Drosophila melanogaster: one gene and its partners. The protein of the gene in region 1 interacts with the protein of each later gene in a pairwise test. Each region holds a gene or a part of one and is shown in the gene's direction. Other genes may lie near its edges.

Region 1 (6,165 bases):
TCGCCACTCCCAGGTAAAAGGACAAAAAAGCACGGGTAACCAAGCGATTTATTGACTAAAAATGAATTACCACGCAGTGGGCCATCATAAAACAGAGCAAATAGTTGGTCACTTGTAGAGAAAGTGCAAACGTTGAGATACCCTAGAAAGCAGCAACATTAAATCTTTCTAAACATAAGAAGTAAAAGTGACATTAAGATATTCTTCAAACTTTTTAAAACTAGGGAACATACATCCATTAACAACTCAATTTTAACAAGTTAACAACCTACGAAAGGGTAGCAAGAATGAGTACTCATATACTTATAAACCCACCGCCGAAATCAAACACAATCAAGCGAATTGGGTTCCGTTCCAGTTTGAGTTCCAGTTCGGGTTACTTTGCTTGCACAGCCATTTGAGTTTGTCCGTTCGTTTGGTTAAAAATAATCCGACCACTTCGCGTGGCCGCAAGGACACCCAGGATGGCCTCCCACCGCGGTAAACATCGTTTGTCAAATGCTCCGACTGCCCCGTCCAGCTCCAAGCCACGACAACTCACAATGCCATCCTGGCCAGCTCCATCTCCAACTCCACCCCATCCTCCATCCTCCACCTTCAGTTCCAGTTGCAGTGTGTCCAGTGTGGATGGGTGACTTCCTTCCTTGGTCGAAGGACTTACGTGAGTCGCGGCCGTGCGATAAAATAACCGGTTACAAAATATTTGTTGACATTCCGCGGTAAATTACCATAATTAGTTGATTCGAGCGACCGACCCATGTTTGATCGGGCTGTCATGGGTTAAAGCACCAATGGAGTGGAATGGGTGTGCGTGCAGCGACATAATGCCAAAACAGGGCACTGCCCACTGCCAAAAGGATAATAATTAGAGCATATGTACGGATTGAGTGCAAATATTGACAGGAGCTGCCCTTCCTTTCCCCCATTTGTCATCATTCCGGGTCGTTCTGGTGCGTAAACTCAAATTAATCAGCCGCATATCAATATCCGTGCAAACATAGCTCCACATCAAAACATATGTATGCATATATGCGCTACATATGTCGCGACCTTTTGGACATGGATTTGCCTTGCCTCAAGGATTTTCCCTCAGCCATAAGGAATTGTGTTCTGTTGACAGTAGTTTTTGGGGTGAAGGTTAGTTAGCATTCTCGAAGCAGGACAAGGCAAATAGATTCATGGTATGGTAAAGTCGCGATTTGTACAGGAAGTAATGTAAGTCCTTAAAGTAAAGTCAAGGAAATGAGTTGAGACTTATTTTTGAAAACAATATTTATGAGTGCAAGAGCACTACTTCATTATTCAACCAACAACATATTATTTCTAGCAAATCTTGTAATATTTTATATAATACTTTAAATATCATTGCAGTTATCTTCTATATACACCTAAGATAAATCAATGCCTAGCACATATCCCTAGTTCGACTCATTCGGCTCCCATTGACAAAGTCATTAGTTAACATCCCTCTGATCTCAAAGCAAACAGGGTGACCACGACTTCCCAGGACCGAACCAAATGAACCACAGATTAATCCCAAAGCCACGACGACAATTAATATGCTGCCATATCCACGCCCGAAAAAAAAAAAAGATGGGCAAACCGGTCAGTGGAAAAGAGATTAGAACAGTCAAATGACTTTAAATTAAGCCGATGTGCGTCTGTCCGTCGATTTAATTAAAATCAAAACAAAATCTTTGCCCGCCGACACGCCCCTTTTGGTGGCAGCAAATAGACAAATAATAAAACCATAAATAATGCAAAACAATAAACGAGCAAGTATTCATAAATTATTAACGCAGAAGCTGCTGGCCGACAAAAGGCAGCGCAAATACCCAAAATATTTTGCCAAAGCATTTAGAAGGACAATGAGGCACGAACCAGATGACAGAATCCGGGGTAGAATAGCAAATCCCCGCAGCAAATAATTGAGCCTCATAAAGGAAATATCATTCATTGATTTTCCCCCGGCAACCACAACAGATTCTCGACCTCTCATCTTTCCCAGCAAGTGGATGAAGTCGTCGGGCGGTTGCAAATGGTCCTTGGAATGGGAATGGGCACGAGCATGGGTTGGCCAGTGGTGGTGGGTCATGGGGCTTCATTTAGCTGACTCTATGGACAGCTGACGAAACTATCCACCTAGCGGCGAAGGAAGACTTTCACATGAATCCCAAATCTATGCCCCGTCATGATTTGCACAAAAAACTTGAGCTGGCAAATTTGTCAGTGGGCACAAAGGACGCGGCAAAGAAGAAGATGAGGGAAGCGGAACGGAAAAAATCTAAGGACGAGTCAGGGAGAACAAATGATAAATTATTGAGGGATTTTCGTTAATTTGATGACACTGATGATGGCCAAGGCCAGATTATCCTGACTGCCGAATTTTGATTGGGCCAAACAGGGAACAGAAGACATATCTCATAAAATAATTTGTAATGATTTCAATTTTAATAGATATAGATATACTTATGTTCGATTAAAATCTTTTTGTTATAGGCGTAGAAATTTAAATAGCACCATATGTCAGCTAATCGAGAGTATTTTTATAAGCTTATCAACATAATTTTACCAATGTCTTCAAAGCTAAGACGATGAAATACACTTTTAATATATATAATATAATATAATAATATAATATAATATAATAATATAATAATAATATATAAGATGTTAAACGGAATCCCGTTTTTATAAAGTGAATGTTTTCAAACTATTACTTATTTCCATATTTAATAAGTGAAAGTTTTCTATTTTCGAATTGGTATTAAAGCAATAAGCTGAGTATATAGGTATTTATTTTATACTTATGGCGTAAGGCATGGAAATATAATTTATTGAAAGTCAAATTCTTGGTGTTTTTAACTTAATGAACTGATTATACATATTATTTATCACTCTTATTCTTTATTTTACTTCTTTTTTCGAGAGCATTAGTCGCAAGTGCGTCTTCGCTAGCTTTGGAATGTGTACTCGCTAATATGGAAGTATGTACACACTGCATAGAATGAAAAAACGCTATCTTATTCCAGAACCTCAAATCTTGTACAGCTTGAACTCTTTTAGACATGTTTATAAATGGCTGAAGTTGCTTATGTTAATAGGAGTCTACGATTAACTGTCAGATTCCAATAATCCGATCAAGTGGCATCTTTTAATGCACAAGTTTAAATGGTTTGCCTAACAGTCACGATAATATATATCAAATGGTTGGCAACGCGATACGTAGCATTCTGAGTTGACCCGACAATGAACTGGTATCTATTTAGTAGCCAGTTAGTATTTTATTGGGGCGGTCACACTGATCCGTACCCAAAAACAATCAACCGATGCGAAAAGCATAACAATTCGAAAGTTTAAAATTCGGTCAAGATGAGCGCCTATTATCGGCGCGCGGCGTTGCGGAAGAAGAGCCCAAGCCGAGGGTCATCCTTCGAGTTGGAGATGAACGAGTCTGGCTACACATCCTTCCTGGCGCTGCACAATTCCACCGCGGAGACGCCATTTTTATTGGAGGACGCTGAGGGCGAAAACTGTCGCAATGCATCGAATACCACAACATTCTTTCGGGGGCTGAACACGCCCAGTGGCCACCAGGAGCAGGACCTTTACTGGGGCAAGCCCTATCCCAGAACACAGCCCCAAAAGAAATTTTCCGCGGAGGAGGAGCCTTTCTCTATGACTCCGCGTCTGCAGGATGAGCATAGTCTGCCCAAGCGACGCAAGAAACACTTTCAATCGCCACACAGTAGCCCCAAGAAGTCCAAAAAGCTGCTCTTTCCCCACATAGAAGAACCGCCCAAGAATCGCTTCTACGGCGGTGTCGAAAAGCTGGATATCGTGGCCAAGCTGGCGCAATGGCAACCGGCACTGCAGTGCATACTGCGTCATGTGGGCGCCCACACGCTGGACGTGATGACCAAGGTATCGCCGGCCTGGAAGCAGGCTGTTTATCGCAGCCAACGCGACTTGGAGCGCCTACAGAACCACCGACTCAAATTGAATCTAACCAAAGAGAATCCTCACGTGCCCAAGCGGTGCAGCCATGTGCCCAAGGCAAACCACACAGTGCCATTGCAGACCTCGAACCATAGCAGCCTGGCCAACAGCGCCGCCTCGCTAATGGACTCGGGCAACTCGAGCATCCACCTGATGGACGTGGATGCCGGAAGGGTGCTGCGCGAGCAGACGCAGCGCGTCAAGTGTCCGCGATGCGGTCGAGGCAGCCGGGTTTTCATAAGCGAGGCGGCCAAGTGTGGCGAAAACCTATTGTCGCAAACTCTGCCTATTGGACGTACAACCAGCACATTCCCCTGCATGACGGGTCCGCCTCTCAAACGCTTCCTGTCCCTGGATCTTGACGAGGTCAGGACTTCACCGCAAGGACCGCCATATAACTTCGCCGAATGCACCAGTGTCATCTGCCAGTTTCGGTTCTGCGTCAACTGTCTGTGCAAGTCGCATCCCGGCGAGCGTTGCCTGGTCACCGAACTGGACACACCATCCAAACTGATGATGCCACGGGAGCGACTGACGCCGCCACAACGTGCCCAGAACCGTGATCCGAAAATCACAAGGAAGAACTCGCTCAAGCGGCTCTGCTTTTAGCTTTATCATAGGCTTTTAACTATTACGATTAGTATTCGATTTTTTTAAATCTCATTAATTTCGTATTATGTCCATCGCATTAAGTTCCATTTCATCACGTACATTCATATATATGTTTTTAAATCGTTCCATGTAAGGTTTGTCGGAATTCTGTACCTCTGCGAGATTAAGTATTTTTTACACATGCAAAATATATAAATCATTTTTAGAACTATAATTGTTATAATTATAACTGGGGGAAAGTGATTCCTGTTTATTAACATGTAAGGCTTTGTTATTATACATCATTATAACAGGCTTCAAAGGCAGCCTTAATATGTTAGGCAAGTCTTAAAAATATTTTATTATTATTGATTGCATTGCATAAAATAAATTCAAACAGAAAATGTTTAAAATCAGCTGTAGTATACTGGTTTGGGTCTTGGCTAACGCCAATGCGCGCTATTTACCGTAAGCTACTTTGTGTACTGCCAAGAGATCTTTGGCCACACCAACAAAACACGTGTGGAGTGCGGTTGCCGCACATTTATTGTTCTCCGTTTTTACCTTTAATTAACTTGAGAAAAAAGGAAAAAACGATCATCCAAAATGAGTACTGCGTTGGCACAGCAGCTGCAGAAACTGGCTGCGCCGCAGTCGTCGGTAACTTTGGCAGATGCACGAAGTCGCGCCTCCATACTCTTCGATCCCAAGGAGGCGGCCACCAAGGATCGGCGGTCCATTTATGAGATCGGGTTAACGGGACTGCAGGAGCTGACCGACTTTAATCCGGCCTTCAAGGAGTTCCAGCTAACGTTGTTCGATGAGGCCACATTGACGCTGGAGCGTTCCGTGGAGCTGCCGGAGATTAACAAGATGCTGGACGCGGCCATTGCAAAGTTTCTGCGCCTTCTTTCGCCGTACCTTCTGCTCCGCCCCGCACACATGGCCTTCGAATGGTTGCTGCGACGATTCCAGGTTCACGAGTATAACCGTAGCGAAGTTATGGCCCTGATTCTGCCCTATCACGAGACAATGATCTTTGTCCAGATCGTTAAGACCATGAGGCTCCGGTCATCGGATGGCGACTGGTACTGGCTGCGCCCGTTGCAGCGTCCTGGCGTTCCGCTAGCCAAGACTGCTATTATTAACAGAGCCGCCAGCAATCCCGCCTTCCTCGGCTTCATCTGCCAAAGTACCCAGAAGGCGGTTAAGGAACTGGGTCCTCGAGCCCACCAACTGCAAGCCCAGATCAACTTCTATGCCACCGTCGTAGTTGGCGCCCTGCAAACGGCCAAACCACTGCAGGACTGGCACATCACCACTATTCTGGAGTCGCTGCTTCGTGGCCTGATTTCCGATAATATCGACTTTATGGCGGCCGCCTATGTGATCGTTGCTCAGCTTGTTTCCCGCACCAAGCTCAAGAGCAAGGTGTGCAATGCCCTGCTGGAACGCGTGGCCAACTGCCCGTTTGAGAGGCTTCACAGTGAGTCGCTGCTCCTGCTTGTCTGCATCTATGGCAAACAGCAAGCCGCATTGCCGCACTTTAAGCCGGAAACCATACTCAATCTGGTT
Region 2 (5,945 bases), 3.2 Mb from region 1:
CTTGATTTCACCGCAGGGAGATGTTCACTTGGGCAAATGCTATTTATTATCGAAATATGGCCAATACTGGCCATCTACTGATTAGTTACCACCGATGGCTATTGGCAACCAATTGGCACATTTAGACAGTTTGCTTAAGGCACGTATAAAGTAATTGTGTTTAGACTTAGATAAAGGACAATAAATATAAGTATACATATCTAGTAACATTAACTACATTTTAAGAATATGAAGTTTCGAGCTTTCGGAACACTATCAACCAATCCGTTGTGGCCAAGTGTAACGAACCTTATGTTCAGATACAGATACCTTTAAGCCCGCAAACTGAGGCGTTCGGCCGTTAATCTATTGGATTGCCAGTCGCCGAAATTGTGACCCAGTTAGCAGATGTTTATCGCAAGCGTCGTAGGCAATAACCCACTTAATGAATGCAATTATTTTCCAATCACGGCACTAAGGCATCCAAAGCTGGTTGCCAAGAGGCCCGCAACCATGGCTAACTGGCCCCAAACTCCCAAAACAGGGGTGGCTTTGATTAACATGCCTTGGCGTTCCAATTGCCATTTGAAGGCGGTAGGTACACACACACACACACACATGTGTGTAAAATAATCAATGGCCACGGTCATTAATTGCGCCCCTAATCCTGTGTCCTTTGCAATCTGGGGCGAGGATTTGCAGGACTACAAGGCCGTTGGGCTGATTAAGTGCCACAACAGTAGTAATACAATTATTGAAGCAGCGGCTAAGCAAATACTTCTCATTAAGCCAACTTCGATTGTCTTAATTGTTGGATTTTACTTTTCAAAAATATCCTTAATCGCTTGAAATAATCGAGGTCCTTTTATTGTGCAAACTACACCACTTTTTGCTTACTTAAAGCTTGCGAACACCTTTAAAGTCTGAATTGAACTGAGTTCAAGACTGAAAAGCAGCCAACAAAGATCCATTTTTCCCACATTTTATTTGCCTAACAAATTCCAGCTAATTCGATCAACAGGAGCTTGCTAAAAACTAAGCTCTGTACGTTTCTCTGACGTCTTTGGCATCGATGTGTTATGTAAAAGCGGTGCACAATTTGTAGCCAGCAAACCAATTGACCTTTTGAGGAAGGAATTTAGATTCCTGCTAATATTAGCTTAACCCTAAGCACTTGCGTAATCTATATTTGTCCCAGCGCCATGAAGTGGAAGGGCTTGACTGCCTGTCAATGCAATTTCAAACCCATCTACCCCTTGGCCCCCATCCCCTTTTGACTTTTCTGCTTTTCCCTTGGCCAAGAAAACATCGACTTTTGGCTTGGAAGCTAACGAAACTGTTGCAGTCACTTTTGGCCGTGCTCTGAAAATTTGTCAAACTTGCTTAAAAGCCAAAGCAAAAATTCAATTTCAGCAGCCATGCAGCGCGAGCAGCCAAATTGCCTGACCCCAGCAGCACCAGACATAAGTAAAATATATATCGTATATATTTTACAAATTGGCTCAACCCGGGGCAGCAGTGGTACAAAAATGGCAGCAACAAAGAGGCAACAACTGTCTTGACAACGCAACGACGATGTCGTCGTCGTCGTCTAAGGACAATGGAATACAGCTATCGAATACAGGGTGCAAATCGAGAGGAAGTGGTTGTAATTTGGTCCCACGAGCCTTAAGGATTTGGCGGGAAATTTAATCCGACGCAGCTTTCATTATCTACAGCCAATCAGAAAATTTGGTTGCTTACTTTTGCCATATTTTCCGTAAAAGATAGCACCCTGTTAACAGCTGTTTGGATAGCACTGCAGTCACACTGAAAAAAAAAACGCACTAAAAAAAGTGTATTTCAAATTTTAAAATAAGTATACAATTTTAACAAGGACTTTTGCCACTCTTCATGGAGTAGCTTTCGATTTTCATAGATATCCATGCAGTTTCTCTTAGTGCATAAGTATCCAATGTTGCTGTGGGGTCACGATTTTCATTAGTTTCATTTGCCACAATGCGTCTGCCATACTCGTCTGCCGAGTTCAGTTGCTCGGATTTGCTTTGCTCTTCCCGTGGCGGGGTGACAATGGTACAATTAGTGACACCATTCGCCATTCCTCCAGCACTCGGTTTGATTCAAAATTTTTGGCATTATCTCATAACTGGCTCAACTCGCGCTGTGTGCACTGTGCTCTCCTTGTCCCGTCTTCCGATTCCGGCTCCTTGGCGCCGCTTGTGCAATAAAAGGACGAAGCTCCGCGGCTGATTGGACTGCTGGTGGGACGGGTATTGATCAAACAGTTCGAGTTGTCGGACAAGGCTGAGACCCACTTTCCCGGGAACGCGTGTCCCACTGAAGGAACGCGATACAGTAAAATCCTGATATATGTAACTGATTGAGAGTTATCACTTAGTAAAAAGCCATTTACCTGTAGCCAACTTAATTAAAAGAATATCTTTTGGTTTACGTGCATGTTTCTAAATGATCCTTTCCTGCATCGAATTGGAGTCGCACCTACTGAAGAGTCACTGTACTTAAAAACGCCATTGAAGGTGGAACAGAAATATGCTCAGTTAGAGTGGCTTTGGTGCCAGGTACAGTTGTGCAGCTCCAAGTTCCAGCGATTACCATAACCTCATCCACTCAGTTAGCTTGTAAGAGTCGAACCGGGCGGAGGGCAACGGTTTTTTTGGCCACATAAGCCAAAAATCAACACGCTTGCTCCGTGTGTCCAACGAACCGGAGTCCGTGCATCGGGAACCGGTGGCGCAGTCATGCCCATCCACTGGGACTGGGATTGGGAGCATGATCACGAGCATGGTCACCATCACTGGCAACCGCCGCGTCGCCACTGGTCCACCGGGGAGTCCAAGTGCCGGCAGAGGCACTACTATCTCTCCCACGACCTGGACGTATGTGCGCGGGACTTTCACTTGCGGATGGACGACAGTGCCTGGTGCCATGGATCCTGTCTGGTTGGGCGAGTGGTCATAGAGACCGGCACCGAACCGGACTCCCTGGGTCGGGGCACCTTCAAGGTGGTGCTGGACGTGCACCACTTTCAGATCTCTGAGCTCACGGTGAAGGCCAAAAACAGCGACACCGTGTGCGTGGAGGGCAAGCAGGCGGATGACCGGGCGGAGAAGGGTCAGTTGTGCATCACTCGCGAGTTTACGCGATCCTACAAGCTACCACGGCACTACGATGCCACACAGGCACGGGCCACCTTCTCTGCGGACGGAATACTGATGATTACGGTGCCAGCACCACCGAAACTGGACGACGTGGAGCGCGAGATCGAGATTGAGCCCACGGGCAATTACTTTGGCAGCGTGTCCGATCCCACGGCGCCCAAGGCTATCGAGCAGGCGGATGTGGACGGCGATGGTGGAGAGGCTAATCCTGCTGGCACGGCGATGGACAAATGAAGCCGGCGACGTCTGGCGGTTGCGCGGCGGTTCCGCTTGCTCATACCAAAGTGGAGGCGGAAGTCCAAATGCGTTTAGGCCGCCAGAGGCAGTCGATCGGTTGGAGGGCAGTTGCAGTATATCAGACGGAGAGACAGTCGAAGCACATTCCAGTCACCTGGCGCACATGCACGTTGGAGTTTTTCGTGGAAACCAAAATCACTCGGATTGTTCCTGGGTTCCAGCTTAGATAGCACGTAGTCCTTCGTTCGAAACGTGAGCAAATATGGCGAAGTCAACATTTTGTAGAATTTTCTTAAGGTAGCTTCAATATAACGTTTAAGAGTTCATATCCGCTTGTGATTTTGTTTAACGCCAATAAAGGACTTTATCAGAAAACAGGAGAGTTTTGAATATTTCCAGATTTTTCGAAGAAATAATTTAACACCTTTAATCTTATCATTTATTTAAACGGTATTCTGTTTTATTTTGTACTGTATTTTGCAATGGCTGTTCATTTTCTTCGAGCTTAATTATTAAATATAATGAAGATGAACATTTCACTGGAAAATATATTTACATTTAATGAATTCTAAATCAAATCGGATCAAGGTATTTAAAGATAACAATGTTTCATTCCACCAAGTTGTTATTTCAAGTACAATCCGAATGAAAATATCCTCCAGCTAATCGGGAAAACAAACCCAAATCAGGGATAAATCATGCCTCTGGGAAAACTTCAGCTCGAATTCAAAACCCAAGCGAATTGGATTTCTCGCTGCTTTTAACTTTCCTGTCACGCAGCTTTTGATTAGCGTCAAATTTGAATAAAATTCACTAACACCTTTTGTGTTTTTCTTGTCTGTGTTCGTATCCTCGGGCACATGGCCCATAAAAAGACAATAAAGAAACCCAGCTAGTCAGCTAGAAGTGTATAATAGACGTAGGCATACGTACATATGTATTTTAGTTTGGCTATCGACCCAAGAAAATTCTAAAAAAAAGGGAATAAAACATAGCTACAAAGCTCTTTTCAAAAGCTATGAGATACATGAAAAGATTTGCAATTAAATGTCAGATGAAATGATTTACTATCTGCAGAATAAGTTTAAAAATAGTTGGGTAACAATCTTAAGCTCCAACATATTTTGCACCAAAAAAATAAAAGGCTGGGCACTTTGGGGCGTGTGACCCACTTCATAAGAACCCAATCAAGCCTTCGACCTTCTCCCAAAATCGTGGGCTACTGCTCCGTTTTTGATTCGGTCTTGGTCCCTTGCAATTTAGCCGTTGAGACACGTTTTCCCGTTACGATTCTAATGAAATTTGCTACATCTTGAAGTGAATTGTTGCAGGCCGCAGCGCGGCAGCTGAAAAAATTGCCAATTGAGGAGACGAGGTCGCGTACACTTTGTCATCGTTTTGTTTTTATGCGTAGTTGCGTTTAATAAAGTTTTTATATGGCGCCCTCGACTAAGAGGGGAATCCCCGAACGTAGTGCCCATCCTGTCGGATGCCCGGACGGACTGCCTGTTTTCTAATCTAGTTACGATGCCTGCAGCTTTAAGATATTGGTCGGGGGACTCACTTTCCGGGCCGTAGGATATTCATATATTTACGAGTATGGCGAAGGACGCGCGATAAAATATTCAGCAGAAAAGCAACTTCACAATTTCAATTTCCCATGCCATATTGGTGACGGCGGGGACAAACCAAAATAACACAACGATAATAAACACCTACACACCCATTTTATGAACTCATAAAACACTCCGATGGAATCGGAATCGTATATTTTATATATATATATATATTGTGCGTGTGTCCGTGCTTAAATAACTGGATGAGGCCTACAGCCTTGTTGTCCATAAAAACGCACCCATATGCACCTCTTCCGCTCCCGGGATCTAGAGAAAACATTGACCATCATCGACCATCGCCATGGGCCATTTCCATTGTTGTTTCATGGTTTTTATATTTCCCGGTTCGCGACTCCGCAGAAATCGGTATGCGGCTCACAACTAATTTTTATTTTCTATGCCCTTTGATCCACTGCGGGCGCCGATTGGAATGTTCTGCTGGCAACTTTTCAATCACACACTACCACTACTAATCAAATATCCCCGGGGATTAGCCAACTTGTAGATGAGTTGACGGTGTGCGTGAAGGACGGGACACCTAATTACGCAAATTGATGCGACATTAGACGGTAACGGAGCTGGAAACTGGAGCTCTCTAGGGGGATAGAATACTGAAGGACTTGTTTCCGCCAGGGGATCTTAGACGCCGACTGTATTGACATGTAGGAATATATAAACAAACATTTCGCATGCCGAGTTGATTTAATGGTAAATTGAAGCTTAAACATTTAACGGTGTCCTTTTCTATCCTTTTATCAAAGTGCAATTTGTGAATGAGCATAGTAACAACTTAAAGTTATTTTATACTTGCTTTAAAAGCTAGCTAATACCCATAAAGTGGTTTCAAGTATAGCACCTGCCTTTGTTTCGATCATTTGCCCATGTATCGAACTATTCGTGAATAGTGCTAAGTGGGCATTACTGGCTGGAAAAT
Region 3 (5,449 bases), on another chromosome or scaffold:
CAATTTCGAAACATGAAAAAAATGGCGGCAGCAGGTCCTTCGCATGATTCTCACCTTCTCTCTGCGCGACGACAACACATTTAAGTACTTAAAAGTTTTCCGATTCCATCCGCCACATTGCCACACTGCCACACCGCCACACTGCCACACTGCCACACTGCCACACTGCCACAATTTTCCTTTCCCCTCAGCGCTTTTGTGTCGTGTGTGTGTGCGCGACGAGCTAAAGTCGCTTTTCCTTTCTGTTTGCCGTCTGCACTTTGGCGGCGTGAACGGAAACTAACGAAAAGTGGCCAAGGCAAGAAAACAATTGAAGCTCGTAATTTCAACTTGAATTGATATTGTTTTTCCTGACTGCCATTTAGCCCGCCCCCTGGGCTCACCTTCTGCTCCTGCCGCCCGTTGTTTTCCTTAAATGTTATCCTTGTTTTTGTTTGCGCAACAAAGTAAACGGGAAATGCCCAAACCAAAAAGCGAGCGGCAACACGGAACAGGATCCCTTGCTGGCAGGGCGATAACAATGTATCACAAAACAATAACTTCAATTAGTATCTATCTGTGTAGCGCTTTCCCTGTGATTTCCCTTTGCTTTCCTCCTTCGAGTTTCCCTTTTTCCGCTGAAGGAAAAGTTTCCGGCCATCCTTGATTATGTTAACACAAGGAAAACTGATTAATACGGGTCCTGATTAGCCGCCATCCCTCCTGCAATTATGAACCAGTATCTGGGCAATCCATTGGATTTATGGATGTCGAGCTGGATAAATCAAGGAAGTGGAGTTCAGTCCCAGAGGCCACATTCCCCGCTGAACAAATAATGAAAACAAATGCCTGGCATATGACACTAAATGCAATAATGTTGATCCCGTGCCAGATCCGTGGCCGTTTGCAATTTAATTTATTGACAGTGAGTCTTTGACATTTTATTGCTCCCCAGGCCAAGTTACGACATTGTCCGCATTTCCCATTTTTCTCTCCTTTTCCCGCCTTTCCTCGCTATCGACCGACCTTTCCCCTCTGTCACTTAATTTGTCGAGCTGCTAGTCGTTTGGGTTAATTGTTTATTTGTGCGTTTTATTGACAAGCGGCAATCGTTCCTTGGATTCATCAGCTTGTAGTCCTGTCGTCCTTTCTGTGCGGCTTTTAACAAATGAGTTTTTCGTTAACAAATGGCTTTGATTTCCTGGCTCAATCAGCGCACAAAAAGTTGTCATCTAAGCTGGAAAATTATGTCATCGGAATTTGGTGACCATCGACGGTTGGACGATATCCAATGGCCTGTTGCACGAAGCCAGCCACACACCCACGTTGCCCTCGTTTTGGCTCAGAAAAAGTTTGCTTTTTTGCTGATTTCTCTATTGCTATTTGCCACAAAGACACTCAAGAAAAACAGAAGGACATAAATTCCAGGTCTAATGTCTGCACGGAGCACATCCCCATCGGCATTGACACATACGATGCGTGCATGCAGGCAAGGACATTCGTACACTTGGACTTTGGACTTTGGACATTGGAACACACAGGACTTTGGAGTCCGTAACTTTGGTGCTCGGACTTCATACCCAGATATGCGAAATCTGAAGAAACTTTGTGTTTATTGTGCCTGGCTGCTGAACAGAGAGAGAGAGAGCTGCCGAAGAAAAGAAGAGCTCAGAAAACATGGGAGCTGGGCTGGCATGTCCTTGGGATTGTCACTGGGGCGGTTATCCTGATACACGATACACTGCCAAATCGATGATGGAAGCGGAATGGACACGAGTAAACAATGAGCACACACATCAGATTGGTCAGCTTGCTCCGTTTGGCCAGCCTGGACAGCTGGAAATTCCAAGAAAAACCAAATGAATTGCCATCGCTTTGGTTGTCCAGGTAAATCAATGTCCTCCGCCAGCTGGCCTTCCGTTTTGGCCACAAGAATGGTGCAAACTTTTTGCTCGGCACGCCTGCCACGCTAAGTAATTGAACTTTTATCAAAAAATTGCACGCAGCCAGGCGGACGGAAAAATCGAAGGAAAATCGCAGGGAAAGCGATGGTAGTTCTGCCAACTATGGCCAACAAGCGACGAGAGCCACCGCAACAAGAAAAGCACATTATGCTCCTTGTTGACAAAGGACACGGGCCAATCTAGATGAGCAGAAAATGGCGAGTATCTGCTGCAAAGTGAACCCCGAGCAATGAGCGATGGTGAATTGAAAAGGGAAAATGGAGGCCAAATCCCTGGTTTTGTTTTTATTTCCGTATTCGAAATGGGCCCTAAATATTTCATATTTTTCTGTTATAACAAACAGCAATAAATTGTGCTGCAATTGAAATGTCCATTGTGTAGAACATGGTAAATACCATTGTAAGCGGCAATCAACTATTACTTATACAACAATAAATATGTTATGAAACTAAAATTGTGTATTTCTGCCAATATCTAATCGATTTTGCTCGTTATATTGAAATAAAAATGTTGTCTAAATTGTTAATAAATGCTATCTCCATTCCATGGACATTTGTTTGAATTTGATGAATCACCAATTTGTTTCCATTACGAATCTGTTCTGTTTAATTTTTAACTGTCAAGTTGGCACTGACAGATTTTCTTGAAAAGTTGAACTGTACCAGATAACCTTAAAGGAAAACCCTTTGTGGGCGAAAACGGACCATGCCAGTCATCAAATTGCAGTCCTCCGATGGCGAAATTTTCGAGACCGACATCGAGACTGCCAAGTGCTCGAGCACCATTAAGACCCTATTGGAGGATTGTCCAGTGGAAGCGGAGAACGACACTCTTATCCCGCTGCCCAATGTGAACTCGACGATCCTGAAGAAGGTCCTCATTTGGGCCAAGCATCATCGCGAGGACATTGCAGAGGAGAACGAAGAGGAAGCGGCCAAGTCCGTCGCTGTGCAGATCACCCCCTGGGACGCCGAGTTCCTGTCCATGGATCAGGGCACGCTCTTCGAACTCATCTTGGCGGCCAACTACCTGGACATTCCCAATCTGCTGAACGCCGCCTGCATGACGGTGGCCAACATGATTAAAGGCCGCACGACGGAGGAGATTCGCCAGACCTTTCACATAACCAACGATTTCTCGCCCTCCGAGGAGGATTTGATGACGATGGAGTCGGAAGTCCCGCAGGAGGACGAGGCGATAGAGTACGGCGAAATTATATAAATTCGAAGTGAACATTTTCGAAGGATTGATGCCTGTTCCGGATTAGAATGTAACTCGACATCCTTACCTATGCTCACAAAATATCACATAAATATCCTTCATATGTATCTTGACCCTCGAATGACCTTCAGGGAAAGCACACTACTTTCTTGACCGCAATTGTTCAGTACGGATTCCATTTCCATTTCCATTTTCACTTGCATTCGCCAACCGTCTGGCCGAAAACTTTCGATTGGAAAAGTTTGGCATGTGAATATGATGTGGGCTGAGTAACTCGGAAAACTTTGTCCGTGACATCCACTCACCTGGTCAGCATATTGGCGCGATTGACGGCCACCTCGGCCTCCACCCGGAACCTGTCCTGAGCATACCGGTCGACCACGCCCTCGCCCAGATTGAGCGAAGTACCAGCCACGCAGTTGGAGCCCATCAGATGCTGCTGCTCGATATACTGCAGGAACTTGGACACCAGATCGATCTTGCTGTCCCGCGCGTTAATCACGTCGGCGGTAAACTGGTTGGACTCCATGTTGTCGCCGGAATCCTCCTCCACATCGCCAATGACCAGCTGCTTGGTCTTGTCATCGACTTGCGCATCCGGCGGATAGCCGTCGTCCATGGTGACCTCGGAGGTGTCCAGTCCCGCCTCGGAATCGGAGTCGCCATCGCTGTCGAAGCTGATCTGCTTGACCTCCATGCTGGCCGCCTGGGATCTGGCCTCCGCCTCCGGTTCCCGCTGAGCCCCATCGTCCATCCATTCGGTGGTGGCGAGGCTTTCGTTGAGCGGCAGCAGCTTGCCAAATGGTTGACCCTCCTCCTCCTCCTCGTCCTCCTGCGCGTTGTCCAGGGCATTAGAGTCGTAATCCGATTCCGGGGGGGAGTCCCGCGATATGGTGCCCATTCGCTGCCAAGTGCCATTCACCGGCAGCAGGCGGGTACTGGCGATTTTGGGCTTGATGGTGGTGGACATTGGAGCCTCCTCCTCCTCCTCATCGAGCTCCTCGTCGTCGTCGATAGTATCATCATCGTCCTCCTGGTAATTGGCCTCATCACGCACAAATTGGCGTGCCTGTTTGACACCAATATCCGGATCACCTGTTGGGGCCGCCGTCACGAATGAGCTCTCCAGCTCAATCTCATCCGCTAGCTGCATGACCTCGCTGAGAGCCGTATCCTCGGCGTCCTCGCTGGCAGGACGACCCTGCAGGTGCTCGGCCTCGGCCAAACTGCGGTGATTCTTCGGCGTATGGCGGAGGCCCAGACTTTTGTCCACACTTTTGCGTATGCTCTCGTTGATTTTCTTCTTGTGCAATTTGCGGATTTTGTGCGTGACGGGAGCCGGCGAGGTCCCACCCACACCCGGCAGCTGTGTGGGCGGGATCAGGGTGAGGCGTGTGGTCCCACCGCCACTCCCAATGCCGCTACTGCTGCTACTGTTTGTGCTGCCATGAAGGAAATGCGACCGAGAGCGCCCGTGGCGAATGTTGAAGCTGTCGCCTGTCATCAGGGCATCCGCTTCCGCCTTGATGCGGTTCCGTGGCGCTGGGGATCCAGGTCCCGCTGCTCCTTCTGCTCCGACTGCCTCTGGCTCTGAATCCAACTGCGCGTGACCTTGCATCGCCCACAAGCCCATCGCAAACAGCAGCTGCACAGCCTGCGGCATCCGCACCCACATCCGCATCCTGGGGCTCGGGGCTCTAGTTTTTTTTTTTTTTTTTCGGGACGCTTTGAGTGCACCCCTATATCGCTTAGTTGCTCGCCTTGATTGGCTGATCAGCACTTTGTGTGTTGCGGTTATCGATTCGCAGGGACTGCTGCTGCCGTTGCTCAGCTACCTTTTGCCATTTTCAGTTGTCAAAGGCCAGGACGAGTACATAACGCATCCGCACCGTGCCCCGCCGCTGATTTGGGCGGATGGTCAGGGCGCCACCGCCCATTTCACCGCTCCACCCACGCGCTCTCCTTGTGTCCGCCTTTTCGGGGAAACGCTGAAACGGAAGGAGAAAATCCAATGATTAGCCCCGGACAGTCAGGAATACGATGAATGGTGATGAACTCGATGGGATGAGTTCGGAAATTACGGCAACGAAAAAAGTGGGAGACAAAATATACAGGAAAAAAATCAATAGTAAAATCAAAGCTCTCGTCCATGCTGTTACCTAAGTGTACAAATCTAATGTTTTAAACAGGATTTGCCCACATAATTTAGATTAATAAAGTATTTAAATATATCAATTTGATTTTGAGGCGTCTTTAAATGGTTTAAAACTACAGAGTACCCAGTC

Evidence for each region.
Region 2: the proteins of Rca1 (region 1) and CG13133 interact in a two-hybrid assay, tested with the Drosophila melanogaster proteins (one large-scale study listed by BioGRID).
Region 3: the proteins of Rca1 (region 1) and SkpF interact in a two-hybrid assay, tested with the Drosophila melanogaster proteins (one large-scale study listed by BioGRID).

What each region holds. Positions count from the first base shown.
Region 1 is NT_033779.5:6,849,050-6,855,214, forward strand, and holds Rca1 (regulator of cyclin A1), read left to right. Parts: upstream 1-3,265; 5' UTR 3,266-3,372; coding exon 3,373-4,608; 3' UTR 4,609-4,817; downstream 4,818-6,165. Other genes in the region: l(2)k09022 (lethal (2) k09022), read left to right, coding at 5,197-6,165.
Region 2 is NT_033779.5:10,089,029-10,094,973, reverse strand, and holds CG13133 (uncharacterized protein), read left to right. Parts: upstream 1-2,584; 5' UTR 2,585-2,738; coding exon 2,739-3,392; 3' UTR 3,393-3,766; downstream 3,767-5,945.
Region 3 is NT_033778.4:23,455,886-23,461,334, reverse strand, and holds SkpF (SKP1-related F), read left to right. Parts: upstream 1-2,575; 5' UTR 2,576-2,648; coding exon 2,649-3,164; 3' UTR 3,165-3,270; downstream 3,271-5,449. Other genes in the region: CG43795 (uncharacterized protein), read right to left, coding at 3,470-4,845.